Coturnix japonica: one gene and its partners. The protein of the gene in region 3 interacts with the protein of the main gene of each other region in a pairwise test. Links are inferred from orthologs where the notes say so. Each region holds a gene or a part of one and is shown on either strand. Other genes may lie near its edges.

Region 1 (5,106 bases), on a different chromosome or scaffold from region 3:
TGTTACTGAAATCTCTCAGAAATGTCAAACGTGAAAAGATTCTTCACATAACTCCTGACATCCTACACTGGCTCTATGGGTCACAGCAAATAAAACAAAAAGTGCTCACATAAAGCTGGTAGGAAAAGATCAAAATCAGCTGAATGCCAACTACGTGCTCTGTAGGTTGAAGTGGAAGCTCCAGTTTAAAATGCAACTGATCCATTTTTCCATCTTGATTTTTATCTTCTTCTCTCGCCTAAAAGGAGCGATCAGACTTTTGTTTAGTTAGTTTAATAGAAGGGTTCCTGTTAAGAGGAAAGAAAGTTAAAAGTGCAGATTTCCCTAACTGCAACACGCACATACAAAGAAAGCAAAGAAACAGCACAGTTAGAAATAGAATAAAAAGCTGCTTGGCTTTAAAAACATGAGGTTAGAGAGAGAAGCCTTAGTTCTGTATGTTACAACAATCCACGTACTCCACAGGAAGGGAAAAAGACTCTCCAAGAGCACTTTTGTCCCGTGCCATTCCAAACATGTTCCCTGCATCCTACAGTCTGTATCTTAACGCTGGACCTTCTGCTACATCCCTGGCAATGCTGAGCTCGGCCCTGAGCGCTTCTTTGCACCATGTCCAGCTCCTGGTGGGAAGCCGCGGCTCCCAGCGCTTCCGTACCGCTCAAGGCCAGCACCGCAGCAATTCACAACCACCACGAGGCACCACAGAGCGCTCAGAGGAAATAACTACCGCTGCTGGATCCCGCAAAGAACAATAGCTGCAGGGGAGAGACGGCATGCTTTGAAAGCACGTACCTGCATTGCAAAGCAGGGGGCTGCCCACAAAGCCCTGCAAGCTGCAGTGTAACAAGCCTCACAGAGCGGGACCGGGACGGGGAAGGAAGAAAAATTACGGGGAAAAAAAAAAACAAAAACAAAACCACAAAAACCCACGGGAAAGAAAAGTCAGCAAAAAGCTTCGTGAGAACGAGCAGCGTGTTCCTGTAAGTCAGTGCACCGACAGCCGAAGCCAAGGGAGCTCCCCGACCCGCTGCCCGCAGCCGCCTACCAACAGCAGCGGGACGCGCAGCCGGTCCTCCTGGAGCCGGTTGAACGCCGGGAACGTGCTCCACGCCAGGAAGCTGCCCGGGCCCGGCCCGGTGGTGGCCACGAACAGCAGCTGGTACTGGAAGCGGACCGCGGGCTGCTCTCGGTACGAGCTCTGCTTCAGCCAGAAACCTGCGGGCAAACACGGCGCGACGTCACGGCGCGACGCCGGGCGCGGCCCCGCGGGGCTGGGGGCTGCCCGCCGCTCACCGTGGCTCCGGTAAGCCACCAGCAGCGGCGGCACGTAGGTGAGCGCGGCCAGCAGCAGCAGCGCCAGCGCGGCGGCGGAGCACAGCCCGGCCCGGTACCGCGTGTGCAGCGCGGGGTGCGAGAACAGCTCCAGCGCCGCCATCCCCAGCACGCGGCTGCGGAGCGCAACGACGGACCGGAGCCGGGCTGCACCGAGCGCCGCAACGGGAGCGGCGGCCGCCGAGCAGCGGGGAGCGCGATCCGGGACACGCGGCTGCAGTGAAGCGGGGAGCGCCCGGGGAGCGCAGCACCAAGGGAACCACGGCGGGCGCTACGGCAACGAGACCGCCGGTAACGGGACCGGCAGCAAAGGGACCGGCGGCAACGGGACCGAACGGCGGGCTCCGCAGCCTCGTTTCCCCCACGTGACCCCGCTCACCGCGACCCGGAAGCGCCGCGTTCCGGTGGTTGCTAAGGAAGCACCGAACCGGAAGTCCCGCCTGCCGAGCCGGGGCTGATTTTGTTGTGACAGGGTCCGTGTCGGCCGCCTCGGCCCGGTTCCGTTCTCGGCCTACCCGGGCCCCGCCGCCGGCTCCGCTTCCCGCCCAGCCCGCGCCATGAAGTGGATGTTCAAAGAAGACCACGCGCTGGGTAAGGGCGGGCCCGGCGCTGCCCGACGGCGGCCTCCCGTGTCCCGTGTCCCGTGTCGCCGTCCGCCCCGGGCTCCCCGTCGTGCTGCTGGGCGGGCGGCCCCGCGGGTCTGGACGCAGGGCGGCGCGGCAGCGGGGAATGAGAGAATGAGAACGAGAATGAGAACGAGAATGAGAATGCGAACACCGGGCCGGGGCCGCGTCACGGGGTGCGGGGCGGCTGCGGTGCGTGCGGGGCTGCTCGCTCTGCGCAGGGCCCTGACCGTACCGTTACTGTTACCGTACCGTTACCATACCGTTCCGTTCCGTTACCGTTCCGTACCGTACCGTACTGTTACCGTACCGTACTGTTACCATACCATACTGTTACCGTACCGTTACCGTTACCGTTCTGTACCGTTACTGTACCGTGACTAACCGCAAGTTTTGTTCACAGAGCACAGATGTGTGGAGTCAGCAAAGATCCGCGCCAAGTACCCTGACCGTGTCCCGGTGAGTAACCAGGCCGGCTTCATCCAGAACTGAAGAGGCAGCGGTGGATGAGCTGCCTGCATCCTGCCCGCTGTGCTTTGACCAGAACCCACCAAGTACATTCATTTTCCCTTTTGCATCGTTTGATGTTTTAAAGAAGGCCCAAAGACACGTAACTAGCCCAGCATTCCTTCCTCTGCCCTAATGCGCACTGTCAAATAAGTGAATGTGCCTGACTTTCTGAACACTTACCACATCTATGTTTTCTCTATGTCCCACTTTCTTTTAAGAGCAAAGGCTTTGTACGTTCAGTATCCTGAAGGTACATTCTGTGCATGATTCCAGGAAACTTAAAGAATAAGTTCTTTACACCTTGACAGTCCTTCCTAGCTCGATGAGGGAGGTGATTAGGTTCACCTGGGTTCACAGGGAAGAGCTTTCCAGAGTGTCAGCCAGCCCTTAAATGAGGGCTAAGAGAGGTGCACAGGCACAGGAAAATTTGTGCCATTGTATATATGAATGTAGGTTTCAGTGCAGTTGTAAAATCAGGTTGTACAGTACTGAGTCCTATCTCTCACTATCAAAAGCTGTCTGTTTCTACCAGTCCTGAAAAGCCTCACTTTCACATGTGCTTTACAGGTTATAGTGGAGAAGGTATCAGGATCTCAGATTGTTGATATTGATAAGAGGAAATACTTAGTTCCATCTGACATCACCGTGGCCCAGTTTATGTGGATCATCAGGAAGAGGATTCAGTTGCCCTCTGAGAAAGCAATATTCCTCTTTGTAGACAAGACTGTCCCACAGTCCAGGTAAGTGGCTGTTCAACTGGTATTCAGAACCATTTTAGCGTGGCTGTACATATCAGAGGAACAAAAAAAAAAAACCCTTCTGAGGATTAGGCAGCACTTATAGAAGGCGTTTGGTTGCATTTTCATCTCCCTGCGATTTGGACTTTTTTGGTCATACATATTGGTAACACATTTTCGATTATTTACATTGCAAGAAGGTAAACTAGAGTTATGACATCAGAAATATCAGATAACTTCTCCATGTGGCAAAAAAAAGTTGCATGTTAAACATACAAAAGCAAGCACTATAAATTATTTAAAAAAACATGAACCTAATTCTGTCAGCTCACATTAATGGTTTTTGTTGTTGTTGTTGTGGGTTTTTTTAAAATAACTTTTTCCTGTAAATACTAAATGCAAAACAACTAGAAGTAATGTGAAAAAACTTCTCTGTAGAACGGAGTCAGCATCAGTGGTTGTCTGCTACGTACATTACAAAATGCAGCACTAGCAGCTACTGCAGCAGCTCCCTATACGATCTATTTGAATAATCTCTGAGAAAACAGAATGTAGTGTTACTTGGTTTGGAGGCAGTGTTATTCTTGTCAACACTTGCCTGTGTAACAGCACCTCCAAATAACCTGTCCAGACCCAGCAAGAAAGATTTGTATTTCATTCATGACACTTATGGGAATCACGGGAGTGGCAAGGACCACCTTTTCCTACTTTATTTCTTCTAGGAGTAGTAGAAATGCCTTAGTCCCACTTTCTCAGTACTGTAGAACTGCTAGGAACAAACAGGAAAGGCAAAGAAATAAGGGCACGTTGTATCATCTCACACAACTATGGTATCTCACATCTCTGCTGGAAGTCCAAGGCTCTGAACCTTCAAGCTGATGCAAAAATAGTAACTTTTGTTATTAGGTAAAAATGTAGCTGGCCAACAGTTCTACCCCTTTAGACCACAAATTCTTCACTTCCTTCTCATTCAGAAGGTTATCTACTATTTGTTAATTGCCATCAATTTCAAGTGCTGCCTGCAACTCTCCCCAACTCCTTTAACTTAACACACTACCCGTTTTCTCACAGGGAAAAAGCCATGATGGTTTTCCTATCACCCACATTCAGTCTGTGCCTTTCAGTTCTCTGGCCTTTTCTCAGGCACTCTTGGGCAGTTAGAAAAGATGATCTGAAGCATCTTTAGGCAGTTGACTCACATCAGTCACTGTTTCATCTGTCATTCACAGACAGCTAAAGGAGTTAGGCTGGCCAAGTAATTGCTTGGCTTTCGTTCTGTTTTCAAAATACAGTCATCCCACAAAAGACTACTTAGATTGTAAAGGGCCACAAGCCTATCTTATTAAAATACTTAGATTGGAAAGGGCCACAAGCCTACCTTATTAAAATAAATGAGTAATTAAGTTGCCAAAACGTTCAAACGATATCCCTTGAAAAAGTACCAGTTTCTAACTGGCTTGGAATTGTGGTGGCAACACTATTTTATAGTCATTACTTCTTAGCAATATAGACAACAAAGCTTGTACTCCCCCAAACAACCTGGACCTGCAAGAAACTGTCCAAAAAGCACATTTGATGAGTTTGAGAACATAGCACGCAGAGGAAGAAATTATGTTGCTTACTTAAGATGCAAGGTTTCAATGTGGCTGCATTCAAAGGAGGTGCTGTCAGGCTCTTAATCTTGCAGTTAGTCATGGCCTCGATGATGTACGATTCAGAAACTGAAATCCATCCAGTGACTAACTTTCAGTATAGGAAGCACTTTGATAAATGCATTTGCGATGTACAAAAGTAACAGAAATGTAACAAATGTGCTCCAGAAAGAGCAGCAGACCATTTTGTGAGCACAGATGTCAAACACTTTTTAGATGTCATTATGTGAAAATAATTTACATACAAACTTA
Region 2 (5,174 bases), on a different chromosome or scaffold from region 3:
AGAAGCATCCCGTTCAGCAGGAGGATGGAGGCTCCAGGTATCATGATGTCACTGTATCAGTAGGAGAAGCAGCACCTTGGTGAGCAACGAGGCCCTTCAGCTCCAGCCCTTGGACCCACAGCCAGAAAATGTGGAGCAGCTGCAGGGGTGTCTGAGCCCCCATAGACAGGCAGCGAGGGGAGGAACTGCAGAGCAGAGCAATGCGTGGCACAGCCCCCTGCTGCTGACACTGCTCCCCTCCTCCCCTTTCCTCATTTTCCCAAAATGAGGAGGAAGATGTTTTTCATGCTTTAATGTATCTATACATATATATATTTAGCTCACTAAGCGTGCAATACATACATATATATATATATGTATCGGTTTTTAATCTGATCAGACGGTATAAACAAAGGGAGCTGAGGATGCTGCAAGCAGCAGGATATAAAAACAGATGACGAAAACAACCAAACCCCTGCAGTTTCGAAACGTGCAGTTCTCTGCTTCTTTCCTTCCCCTCCAACCTTAAGCACGTATTTTTCTATCTAAGAAGAAGAATGCAATCATTAGGAATAAACTTCAGACATGTATGTATATACTCTGCCTGAATCCGATGCTCCAAGGCTGGAAAAAGGTTGATACAGAACAATAACAACAAACGTTTTACCCAGCGCTTCACATCACCACGACCATTCCAGATCCTCTGAACTTTGGCCAGTCGTCTGCCCCTGGTAATCTCCAAGTTGCTTAGGGAGACTTAACAGCATTACCCAAACTCTAGTCTGGGGTTCAGACCCTGCAGCCTATAAGCTCCAAATAATAATAATAAACAGCGATGCTGGTGTACTTTGTGGGGTTTAAACTGATGTTCTAATGTAAAGATCATTTAGAATTCAAGCTCATAGGCAAAGCTGAGCAGCAGTACCTCCAAATGGGGGTGGGTGCAGGAGGTGCAATGGATGCAGGGGTGCCCACAGAGCTCTGCAGTCACGCTTGCTCCTAACAGAGCAGGGCGCTGCATTCCAGCAATGCGTCTTCACTCACAGCCTGACAGCATACACACCACAAGAGACCATTTGGGAAGCACCACTTCGTCCCATAACACCAACTCATTCCTGACCTAATCACTGCAGTGAGGAGGAAAGAAAGCGCAAGGAAATGCATAGGTGGCACGTCACAGGATGGCATGTTGGAGGCTGGCACTGCTGCACGGTGAGGATCAGAATGAAAGTCTGAGCAGGTAAATACAGAATGCAGAATATAACTGCAAGCAGGCATGCACACCTCCATAACACGAGCAAATCTGTGAGCAGAAATCTTTTAATTCTGCTCTATTTGATAGGTTACAAATCCTCTCCTAACAACTCTGAAAAGCAGCTTACAGTTCAGACAAATAACTATTTTGCAGGGATGACAAGAGACCTAAGAAAGGAAATGATGGAATAATAGCTCTCTAAGTAACACAGCTTTCCCAAACTCAGGAGGCAGAAATAGTCCTTAAGATGCGGCCAGCGCTTTTGGGTGTGGACTGCTAGGAGCCTTGTTTAGTTTAGCCTCGGGAAACATCTCCCACTCCTGATGACTCTCTAAAACGAACTGACATCTGAAATGAGACAAGAATTCAACTTAAACCCAAACCCACGTCCAAGTGCTGCAGCGAGAACGCAGCAGCGTGTGCCTGACTTCCAGCAGGGGACAGGGAACGAGCAGCCTCCCCCAGCAGCTCTGATAGAGGCACAGCTCAGCTGCGGGCAGCAGCAGGGTGCCAGCTCTGCCCTCCCGAGGAGCTGCCAGCTCCTGATTCCAGGCCGCATCTCGGGCACCCTGCGGGATCCCTGCTGGGGGAGCAGCGGGCCCACCGAGCTCACGGTGCTTTGCAAAACAAACCACGTGCGAGCCGAGCTCACGTTAGGCTGTTCCAGAGGAAGCACCGTGCCCAGAGGAGCTGCTGGTAGGGCCAGGCCCGGCCACGGCTCCGGAGCAGCCCTGGAAGAGCCGAGCAGAGCGGAGCGGAGCAGCACAACGACGGCTGGAGGAGTTCCCAGGCGGGGGCCGGCACTGTCCCTGTAAGCCAACCTCCTGCACGTCCACAGCCACTGCCGGAGCGGCAAACAAAGCTGCAGAGCCTGCGCAGAGCCCTTCGCTAATGGCATCGCAGCACAGGTAGCGCTGCGGGGAAAAAAAACAACAGGCGACGGTACAACGAGGAGGGGGATGATGATGGCAACGACGGGCCACGCGGGGACAGCGGCACCGGGAGAGCTCGACTTCGGAACCTCCTCAATGCGGAGCGACGGGAGAAGGGCGAGCACCGGGTCGGGACCGTCCCGTGCACGCGGCGATTCTGAGGCCCCACGGGGGGAAGGATATAAATAAACGCTGTGGGGGGAGGGAAGGAGGGGGGGGGGTTGAATTAGTGCCATGCAAAGAAAAGGCTGCGAGGAGACGGCACAGAGAGCGGAGCAGAGCGGAGCCGTGGGGGCGGCCGGCAGGGAGGAGATGGTTGTACGCGTGGCAGTGTTTATATGGGAGATGAAAACACGGCCAAGCCCAGGCGGCGAAAAATGGCGACTCCCGGGATGGGGGAGCGGAACCGACGGGCTGCTGGCGTGGATGGAACACGGGACGAGCTGTGTCCATTACCTGTTATTCGGGGACTTTCTGGCCATGGAGCCTGCCTTTGTTTTCTTTCTGGAATAGTCACTATCGAAGGGTAACACTGATGCATAGCCATGTTCTGCTTCTAGGGACAAAGTCAGCATTAGTGGCAATATATTTTTTCCATGCATTTTTTTCCTCCTTTGCAGGAACGCTATAAGGGGGTAAAGAACAGAATTTTGGTTGCGGTTGATTTGTTGGGATTTTCAGTCCGGCATCTCTTAAAGCAGCAACACACATACACACACACACACATATACACATATATATATGTGTATATATATATATACACACATACACGCACATAAAGGCCACAAATCCCCCCCAAGTGCCCCCACCTCAGTCTCCCCCCACCCCCCGGCTCAGCAGCCCCCAATACCGCCCTAAATCCCCTATTATCGCTCTATGTGTGTGGCACACACCGAACACACACAGCCCCGTCCATGTTCTTGCCCTGCCCGCCCTGTGGCAGCTGGGCCCGATCCCCTCACAACAAAGGGACAGCGGCGCTCAGTACCTCGGTCTCTTCTCTCCAAGTACTCGGCCGCCTCCAGGAGAATTAACAGGGAGTTCAACTCCATGGCTGCGTGTTGGAGGAGCCGAGCAATGCCGAACCGAACCGAGTAACACCGAGTAATACCGAGTAACACCGAGCCGAGCCCCCCGCAGCGCGGCCACTCCACCCCGCGCCGAGTTCACGCGCGGGGGAACTTCCAAGTCCCCAGTTATAAGGCACCTCTCTCAACCTACATTTGACACACGGCAGACGGGCAGCCCCGGCGGCCAATAGGAAAACGGGGTTCAGCGAGGAGGCGGGACGAAGCGCCTCGATGGAGCCAATGGGCGTTGAGAGCCCCCCTCCCTTTTCCTCTGGCTGGGGCAGGGAATGTTGACAGATCTCATCTCGCCTCCCATTGGTCGGCCGCTATAGTAACAAGTTAGAAGCCGAAGCTTAGCAACAGCACGTGGTGGCCCCGCCCCCTCGCGCGCTGATTGGCTCGCTTCTTGCATGTTAAGCAGCCGGCCGGCGCTGATTGGCCCAGAGGGCACTATGCAAATGAAGGGACGCGTGCGCTGTGTGGGGAGGGGGGTGGGGCGTTGGTGCCGCGTGGGACGCGGTGTGTGGTGTGTTGTGTGTGTGTGTGTGTTGTGTTGTGTTGTGTGTGTGTTGTGTCTATGCTGTGTTGTGTCCTGTTGTGTGGTGTGTGTGTGGTTGTGTTGTGTGTGTAGTGTGTGTGTTGTGTCTATGCTGTGTTGTGTGTGTTGTGTGTCTATGCTATGCTGAGTGTGTTGTGTGTGTGTGTGGTGTGTTTGTTGTGTGTTTTGTGTTGGGCGTTGTGTGTTGTGTTGTGTGTGTTGTGTTGTGCATTGTGTGGTGTAGTGTGTGTGTGTTGTGTGTGGTGTGTCTTGTGTGTTGTGTGTGTGTTGTGTCTATGCCGTGTTGTGTGTTGTGTGTTTTGTATTGTGTGTTGTGTTGTGTCTATGCTGTGTTGTGTGGTGTGTTTGTTGTGTTGTGTGTGTTGTGTGTTGTGTGTGTGTGTTGTGTTGTGTGTCTATGCTATGCTGTGTGTGTTGTGTGTGTGTTGTGTTTTGTGGTGTGTCTTGTGTGTTGTGTGTGTGTTGTGTCTATGCCGTGTTGTGTGTTGTGTGTTTTGTATTGTGTGTAGTGTTGTGTCTATGCTGTGTTGTGTCTATGCTACGCTGTGTGTGTTTGTGTGTGTTGTGTGTGTTGTGTGGTGTGTTGTGTGTTCTGTTGTGTGGTGTGGTGTGTGTTGTGTATATGCTGTGTTGTGTGGTGTGTTGTGTGTGTGTGTGTGTTGTGTGTGTTGTGGTGTGGTGTGTGTGTATTGTGTTGTGTATGTGCTGTCAGCTCCGAGCACGGCGGCTCTGTCACAACAGCAGCAACATGGAATAGAACGTCAGTGGGAAGGTTCAACCACCACCATCCACCTCTGATGTCATGGGCCAGCATCATAAACCAAGAGGCATTACTTTCGGAGCAAGCATTGTGTATTACATCTAGTATGTAACTAGTCTGTATCTTTGCCTCAGCTGAGTGAATGCGATACGGCTGCTGATGGCATAGAGTCATTAAGGCTGGAAAAGGCCGCTGAGATCATGCAGTCCAACCATCAGCCCATCCCATGGCCCACAAAGCACGTCCCTCAGCTCCACATCTCTGCGTTCCTCCAACACCCCCACAGATCGTCCCTTCCTTGGGCAGCCTTTTCCAATGTCCCGCCACCAATTGTTCCTAATCACCAACCTGAGCTTCCTCTGGCACATTTTAAGGCCATTCCCTCTCATCCTATGTGGCCATTTCCCAGGATGGGACAAAATACTGTAAAGAAAGGCTGCCTTGTGGCTGTAATTTAAGAGTACGTTACATCTGCTTGGAAAAAAACACTGAAAACCCATCAAAACTAATGGTCGTTTTGCTGTTGTCTCCACTGGGAGTGGGTTTACAAAGGATTTCACATTGTTTTCTTCTATAAAATAACACAAAACTATGTGTAGTTCTGCAGCGTCCACACGGG
Region 3 (5,106 bases):
CAGCATTCAAAAATCAAGCAACCCGGAGCTGAGAAACTTAGCATTACCTCATCTACAGTGGAAAAACAACATAAAATAAATAGTTGCTACTGTTGGAGTGGTAGCAAGAACACGACTAGAGAACAAGTCCTGCTGTATGTGTCAATGCCATGGAGGGTGATGCTGTCCAATGCCATCATTGTGCTTGGTTTGCTGATTCACACTGACAGCAGCAGCGTGTGGCAAGTGAGACACTGCAAAACTGGCATTGATTACACTTTACAATGATTTCAGTGATCTATAAAATAAAATCAAGGCTGGTTACATGTATATAAATATATATACCCACATAAAATCATGGTGCTAAGGAACAGCAGTGTGAACTCAGAGTAATGCTGTGCTGCAGCTACTGAACTTTCCTGTTCAGTGTGGCCACATCACAACCCAGAAAAAGATAAAGCCAGGCCCAATTCAGCACTCATCAGAACAAGGAGGAAAAGGCTGCAATGAAAGTTCACTCCTTTCCCATTCAGGGGTGTTACTGAAGAGTCAGCACAGCGAGGCCCCAGGGCACTCCTTCAGCACAGAGCTCGCTTGCTGCTCCATGTAATGAGCATTGCCCTGGCAGTGACATGCTAATAAACCTGCCCTCAGTTCTCCCGGGCCTTCTCCAAAGCAGCTACAGAAATTAAAAGCAGACTCTTGCTTTTCTAAGAGCTGCTTCAGAGGGAGGTATTGAAAACCTGCAGCTGCAGAATAACCCTATTCCTGAGCTGCATTAGCACAGCAACAGCTTTTAGCACTCTCCTATTTCTCCCTGCTCCCAGGTTCAATAGGGTTTATATCAGGTGTGAGGTTACAGAGCAGATTCACCTGCTGAGCTGCAGCCCTGAAATCAGTGGCACAGATAAACCCAACTGCAACCACCTGCCTGAGCTAAAGACACTGGCAACTTAAAAGATCTATATTCAATACACACTTATTTCTTTCCCTTCACTAAGTCCTTAGCAGTATTTGGTAACGTTGACTGTGACAGTACCTGTTTGCACAGCTTTGGTTTGGTTTTGTAGTGACAATAAATAATCGAAGAAGCTTTAAGGACCAGCACAAGGGAGATGGTCCAGCCTCTCCTGGCAGCTGTCACCCGGTCGGGAGGTGCTCCAGCGAGGGATGCTCAGTACAGCTGACTCTTCACCTGGTGCAGGACCCCGATGACAATGTCCCGTAGGGTCTGGGGCAGAGAGGAGACACAGTCAGTTGTTCAGGGGAGGAAAAGCCTTTCCCATGCTCAATGCTACAGACAGCACCTGGTGCCACAGATCTCAGCACCTGTATGGGAAACGATCGCCTGTCTGTGTTCTCAGGCTGCAGGGCTCCAGGCAGCCACAGCACAACAAGGACCTGGCCCTGCCCATGCAGCTCATTCTCTTCCCTCCTAACTTCTAAGTGTCTTATGGAACAAAGTGCTGGGGAACAAGCACCCTCTTTGTAAGCTCTGTTTTTCAGTGTCTGAATTTCACTGCCAAGCAGCTGGGAAATGAGAGGAACCCAAGCTCCCATGCCCCAGGTCCAGTGTCAGCCACATTCTGCCTTTCTGAAGGCCCAGGCGAAAGAAAAGCTGCACACAGGCCTACACTCCAGACAGGTGCAGCCATACACAACAGCCTCTGCTCTTATATCAACCCCCCTGTGTCTGCTGTACTCACATGGGGCTTACAGTGCTCCTCAATCCAGCTGAAGACACATGCTGACAGCTCTTGAAAACTCGTGACTGAGATGGAGGCATTAAAGGACTCAAAGAGGGAATCCATAATGCCTTGGAAAACGTTGAATTTCACCTGGTCAGAGACCTGGTCCTTCCCCTCACTCGGGTTGTCCTGGTGAGCTTTTACGATCTGCTCATAGTTCCTGAAACACCAAGTTTGGGGCTCAGTGCTATCGAAGCCTCGTACTGCACAGCAGCTGGGCGACAGCGGGGGCAGAAGCTGCTGCCAGTAACTGGACACTGAAAACAGCTTCAGAACTGGAGGCAATTTGGTACGACCCCAGGTGCCAGACTGCACACAGAGCACTGAGCACATCGGGGGAGCTTTGCAGGGACATGGGGAAAAACAGCAGGAAGAAGGGGGCAGCAACCAAATAACTTCTTACTTACACTTTCATTATCTTCAAGGCCATCACGTCTTTCCTGAGAGTAGAAACTTCCTCTTCTTGCTTCTTCTTTTCCTTGTGCAGGAACTGAATGTAATCAATGGCTGAACACAAAAACACAGAGTAAGCAGCACATGGGGCCCCTCTGACCTCCCTGAGGTCGGTCCCCGAGGCACCATCACACACAATCACCACATTGAGGTGCCTGAGGGTCGGATCGTGCCCTGCTGCCTCCTGCACACACTCACTCTTCTGCAGGATGACGGCCTTGCTCAGCTTCTGGGAGCCGATGGCGAAGTCCTGCTGCTGGCAGGTGGGCACGATGGCCTGCAGGTCGTCGTAGCCTTTCTGCAGGGGCAGAGGGAGCAGAACAGGCACAAACGGCAGCGGTTACACGGACCCACAGCCCAGCTCCCACCACGCGGCCAAAGCGGCTCCAGCCACACGCGGCTCATGGAGCGGATCCAGCACGGGACGAGGGGCTGGAACGCGGCGCGGCGCCCACCGACCTTGATGGCATCGCGCCGCTTCTGCTCCGCCTGCGTGTGCGCCCGGCGCCGCTGGTCCTTGTAGGACTCCTTGTAAAACTCCTGCGGGTAATCGCTGTCCTCGTCGTCTGCGGACACAGCGGCGCTGAGCGCGGGTCGGGACGGGCCCCCCCGGACGCCGCCGTCCCCGGTTGCCCCGCGCCCGCCCCGCTCCAGCCCGGTGCCCCCGTTCGTACCGGTGTTGGGCACGGACGAGGCGCTGGTGGATCCGATGCTGTTGGCGCGGGACACGACGCTGCCCTTCCTGTCCGTACCGAGCGCTGCGGGACAGCGGGAGCCGCTCAGCGGAGCCGCCCCATCCGCCACCCGCCATCGAACCGCCCCCCCCGGCACCTACCGGGCTCCGGGACATTGTCCCCGTACGCGGCGTCCACCTGCGGGCGGAGGGCGGCGGTCACGGGGCGGATGGTGGCGCTCCGGGCCTCGGCCCCACGGTCCGACCGCCGCCCCGTTACCTTCCCCCACGCTTCCTCCGCCGCGGCACCGGGCGGCTCCGCCATCTTCCCCCGCCCCGGTCACGTGGGAGCCGCGGGGGACGCCGGGAAGCGCCGCCCTCCCGACCGCGAGGGGGCGCCACGTGGGGACAACGGGAACAACGGGAACAACGGGACCAACGGGACACAAACAGCACGGACACCGGGAAACTGCGACCGCCCTTTAACCGCCGCTCGGCTGCGGGATCACGGCGCGGAACCGGCAGCGCCCGCCGTGCCGAGCACGGGCCGTACCCGCCCGGTCGGGGCCGCGGCGCTTCCGGTCCGTCCCGGCGCGTTGTGCGGCTCCGTTCGCTCCGTTCGCTCCGTTCGCTCCCGGTCCCGGCTCCTCTCGGTCCCGTTGCGGTTCAGCTGCTCGTTGCGGTGGCCGCGCGGTGGATGCGGCGCTGCAGCAGCTCCCACGCCTTCTCCACCTGACAACGGGCACCGTCAGCAGCTTCGTGCGGGGCTCGGCGCCGTTACACCGGCCCGTTACAGCGGCCCGTTCTCACCTGTTTGTGGGTGACGTCGGGCTCCCACGCGGTGCTCAGCACAACATGCGCCTCCCGCACCCGCTGCCCGTCGCTCATCTGACTCCGCAGCCGGTCACGCGCCGCCTCCTCGCTCAGCCCGTCCCGGCTCACGATGCGTTTCAGCGCCTGCGGGACCAGCACGGGACGGGGGGTCACGGCGATCACGGGGGTCACGGCGATCACGGGGATCACGGCGATCACGGGGGTCACGGGGATCACGGGGGTCACGGGGGGTCACGGGGATCACGGGGCGGCCGAGGGGAGTCACCCACCTCGTCCTCGGGGATGATGGCCGCCCACACCTCGTGCACCATCTCCTGCCATCCGGCCTCCAGCAGCACGGCGGCATCCAGCACCATCACGGCTTTTCCTACGGAACGAGGCCGTTCCTGGTCACCGGGCGGACACAGGCAGCGCCGGCAGCGCCCACTACAATCAGAGCCACCCGGTACCTTGAGCTCCTGCCTCCCTGATCTGCTCCCTGACCATCCGCGCGATCTCCGGCCACACGATGTCTGTGAGGTTCTTCAGCCGCTCCTGGAAAGGAACCGCAGCGGAGTCAGGGTCCTCCCAGAGGTTGGTCCACGAGGGGGCCACAGCTGGAGGAGCAACAGCAGCTGCTGCCTGGATGTGGATCCTGCACAGCCGCTGATTTACTGTGTGCTACTGCACAGGGACGTGGCATCAGCTCAAAGGGCTGGAAATCAAAGCGCCAGCACAGAGTTCTCTGCTCATGAGGTTAAATATTGACATTCCCTGTGCTGCTCGTACCTGGTTTCCAAACACTTTTGCCCCGAGGATCTTCCTGTTGATCGTCCCGTCTTTGTTCAAGATTTCTGCAAGACAGAGGGAGGTGATTTGGGAGCAGAAAGAATCCAACTCACCTGCACAGCGTGTCCCGGCACAGCGCCGGTGCCGCAGCACACCCAGCCCCACCTGCCCCAAACGCAGCCACCACTTGCCCGTGGGCCGGGCTGCCGGGCAGGTACACAGCGTGGCCCAGTGCATCAGCATCGATGATGAACGCTCCCATCTGCCCCAGGCGGCGGGCGATCGAGGTCTTCCCGCTCCCGCTGCCCCCGGTCAGACCGATGATGTAGGGGCGGGGGGGCAGCGTGGGGCTGTCCTGGGGAAGGAAGGGTCAGACGGGCGGTGGTCCCGCAGCTCCCAGCCCCCGGCAGCTCCCCCTACCCGTGGGGGCCGCAGCAACGTGCCGAGCAGCCGCTGTCGCAGGCTGGAGGAGCTGATCTTCTCCTCCTCACTGAGGCTGTGTTGGGGATCCTCCATCAGCTCGATCTCAAAGAGCTCCAGTGCGGCGAGGCCCTGCCGGGAGGGGACACCACTGAGCCCCCCAGATGTAACCACGGGGCCCAGAGGTCTCAGATCCTCCAGTTACGTTCTCGATCCTCTTCTTGTTCACGG

What was found. The genes of interacting proteins can lie anywhere in the genome.
Region 1: the proteins of MLX (region 3) and GABARAPL2 interact in binary tests that used the Homo sapiens proteins (3 or more experiments, as listed by UniProt). The two-hybrid records come from large-scale screens. The link is inferred for Coturnix japonica from reciprocal best matches to the Homo sapiens genes MLX and GABARAPL2.
Region 2: the proteins of MLX (region 3) and MXD4 interact in a two-hybrid assay, tested with the Homo sapiens proteins (2 studies listed by BioGRID). The link is inferred for Coturnix japonica from reciprocal best matches to the Homo sapiens genes MLX and MXD4.

The regions. Positions count from the first base shown.
Region 1 is NC_029526.1:17,778,217-17,783,322, reverse strand, and holds the start of GABARAPL2 (gamma-aminobutyric acid receptor-associated protein-like 2), read left to right. Parts: upstream 1-1,727; 5' UTR 1,728-1,889; coding exon 1,890-1,923; intron 1,924-2,358; coding exon 2,359-2,414; intron 2,415-3,032; coding exon 3,033-3,205; intron 3,206-5,106. Other genes in the region: uncharacterized protein LOC107319444, read right to left, coding at 110-238, 1,046-1,215, 1,294-1,435. UniProt on the Homo sapiens protein: Ubiquitin-like modifier involved in intra-Golgi traffic. Modulates intra-Golgi transport through coupling between NSF activity and SNAREs activation. It first stimulates the ATPase activity of NSF which in turn stimulates the association with GOSR1.
Region 2 is NC_029519.1:75,158,317-75,163,490, reverse strand, and holds the start of MXD4 (max dimerization protein 4), read right to left. Parts: upstream 3,380-5,174; 5' UTR 3,219-3,379; coding exon 3,155-3,218; intron 2,792-3,154; coding exon 2,623-2,791; intron 1-2,622. UniProt on the Homo sapiens protein: Transcriptional repressor. Binds with MAX to form a sequence-specific DNA-binding protein complex which recognizes the core sequence 5'-CAC[GA]TG-3'.
Region 3 is NC_029542.1:4,577,361-4,582,466, reverse strand, and holds the start of MLX (max-like protein X), read right to left. Parts: upstream 3,295-5,106; 5' UTR 3,179-3,294; coding exon 3,134-3,178; intron 3,053-3,133; coding exon 3,016-3,052; intron 2,939-3,015; coding exon 2,855-2,938; intron 2,747-2,854; coding exon 2,640-2,746; intron 2,479-2,639; coding exon 2,379-2,478; intron 2,235-2,378; coding exon 2,135-2,234; intron 1,888-2,134; coding exon 1,686-1,887; intron 1,211-1,685; coding exon 1,154-1,210; 3' UTR 1-1,153. Other genes in the region: bifunctional coenzyme A synthase-like, read right to left, coding at 3,336-3,608, 3,664-3,810, 3,957-4,054, 4,137-4,221, 4,456-4,520, 4,621-4,810, 4,876-5,007, 5,081-5,106. UniProt on the Homo sapiens protein: Transcription regulator. Forms a sequence-specific DNA-binding protein complex with MAD1, MAD4, MNT, WBSCR14 and MLXIP which recognizes the core sequence 5'-CACGTG-3'. The TCFL4-MAD1, TCFL4-MAD4, TCFL4-WBSCR14 complexes are transcriptional repressors.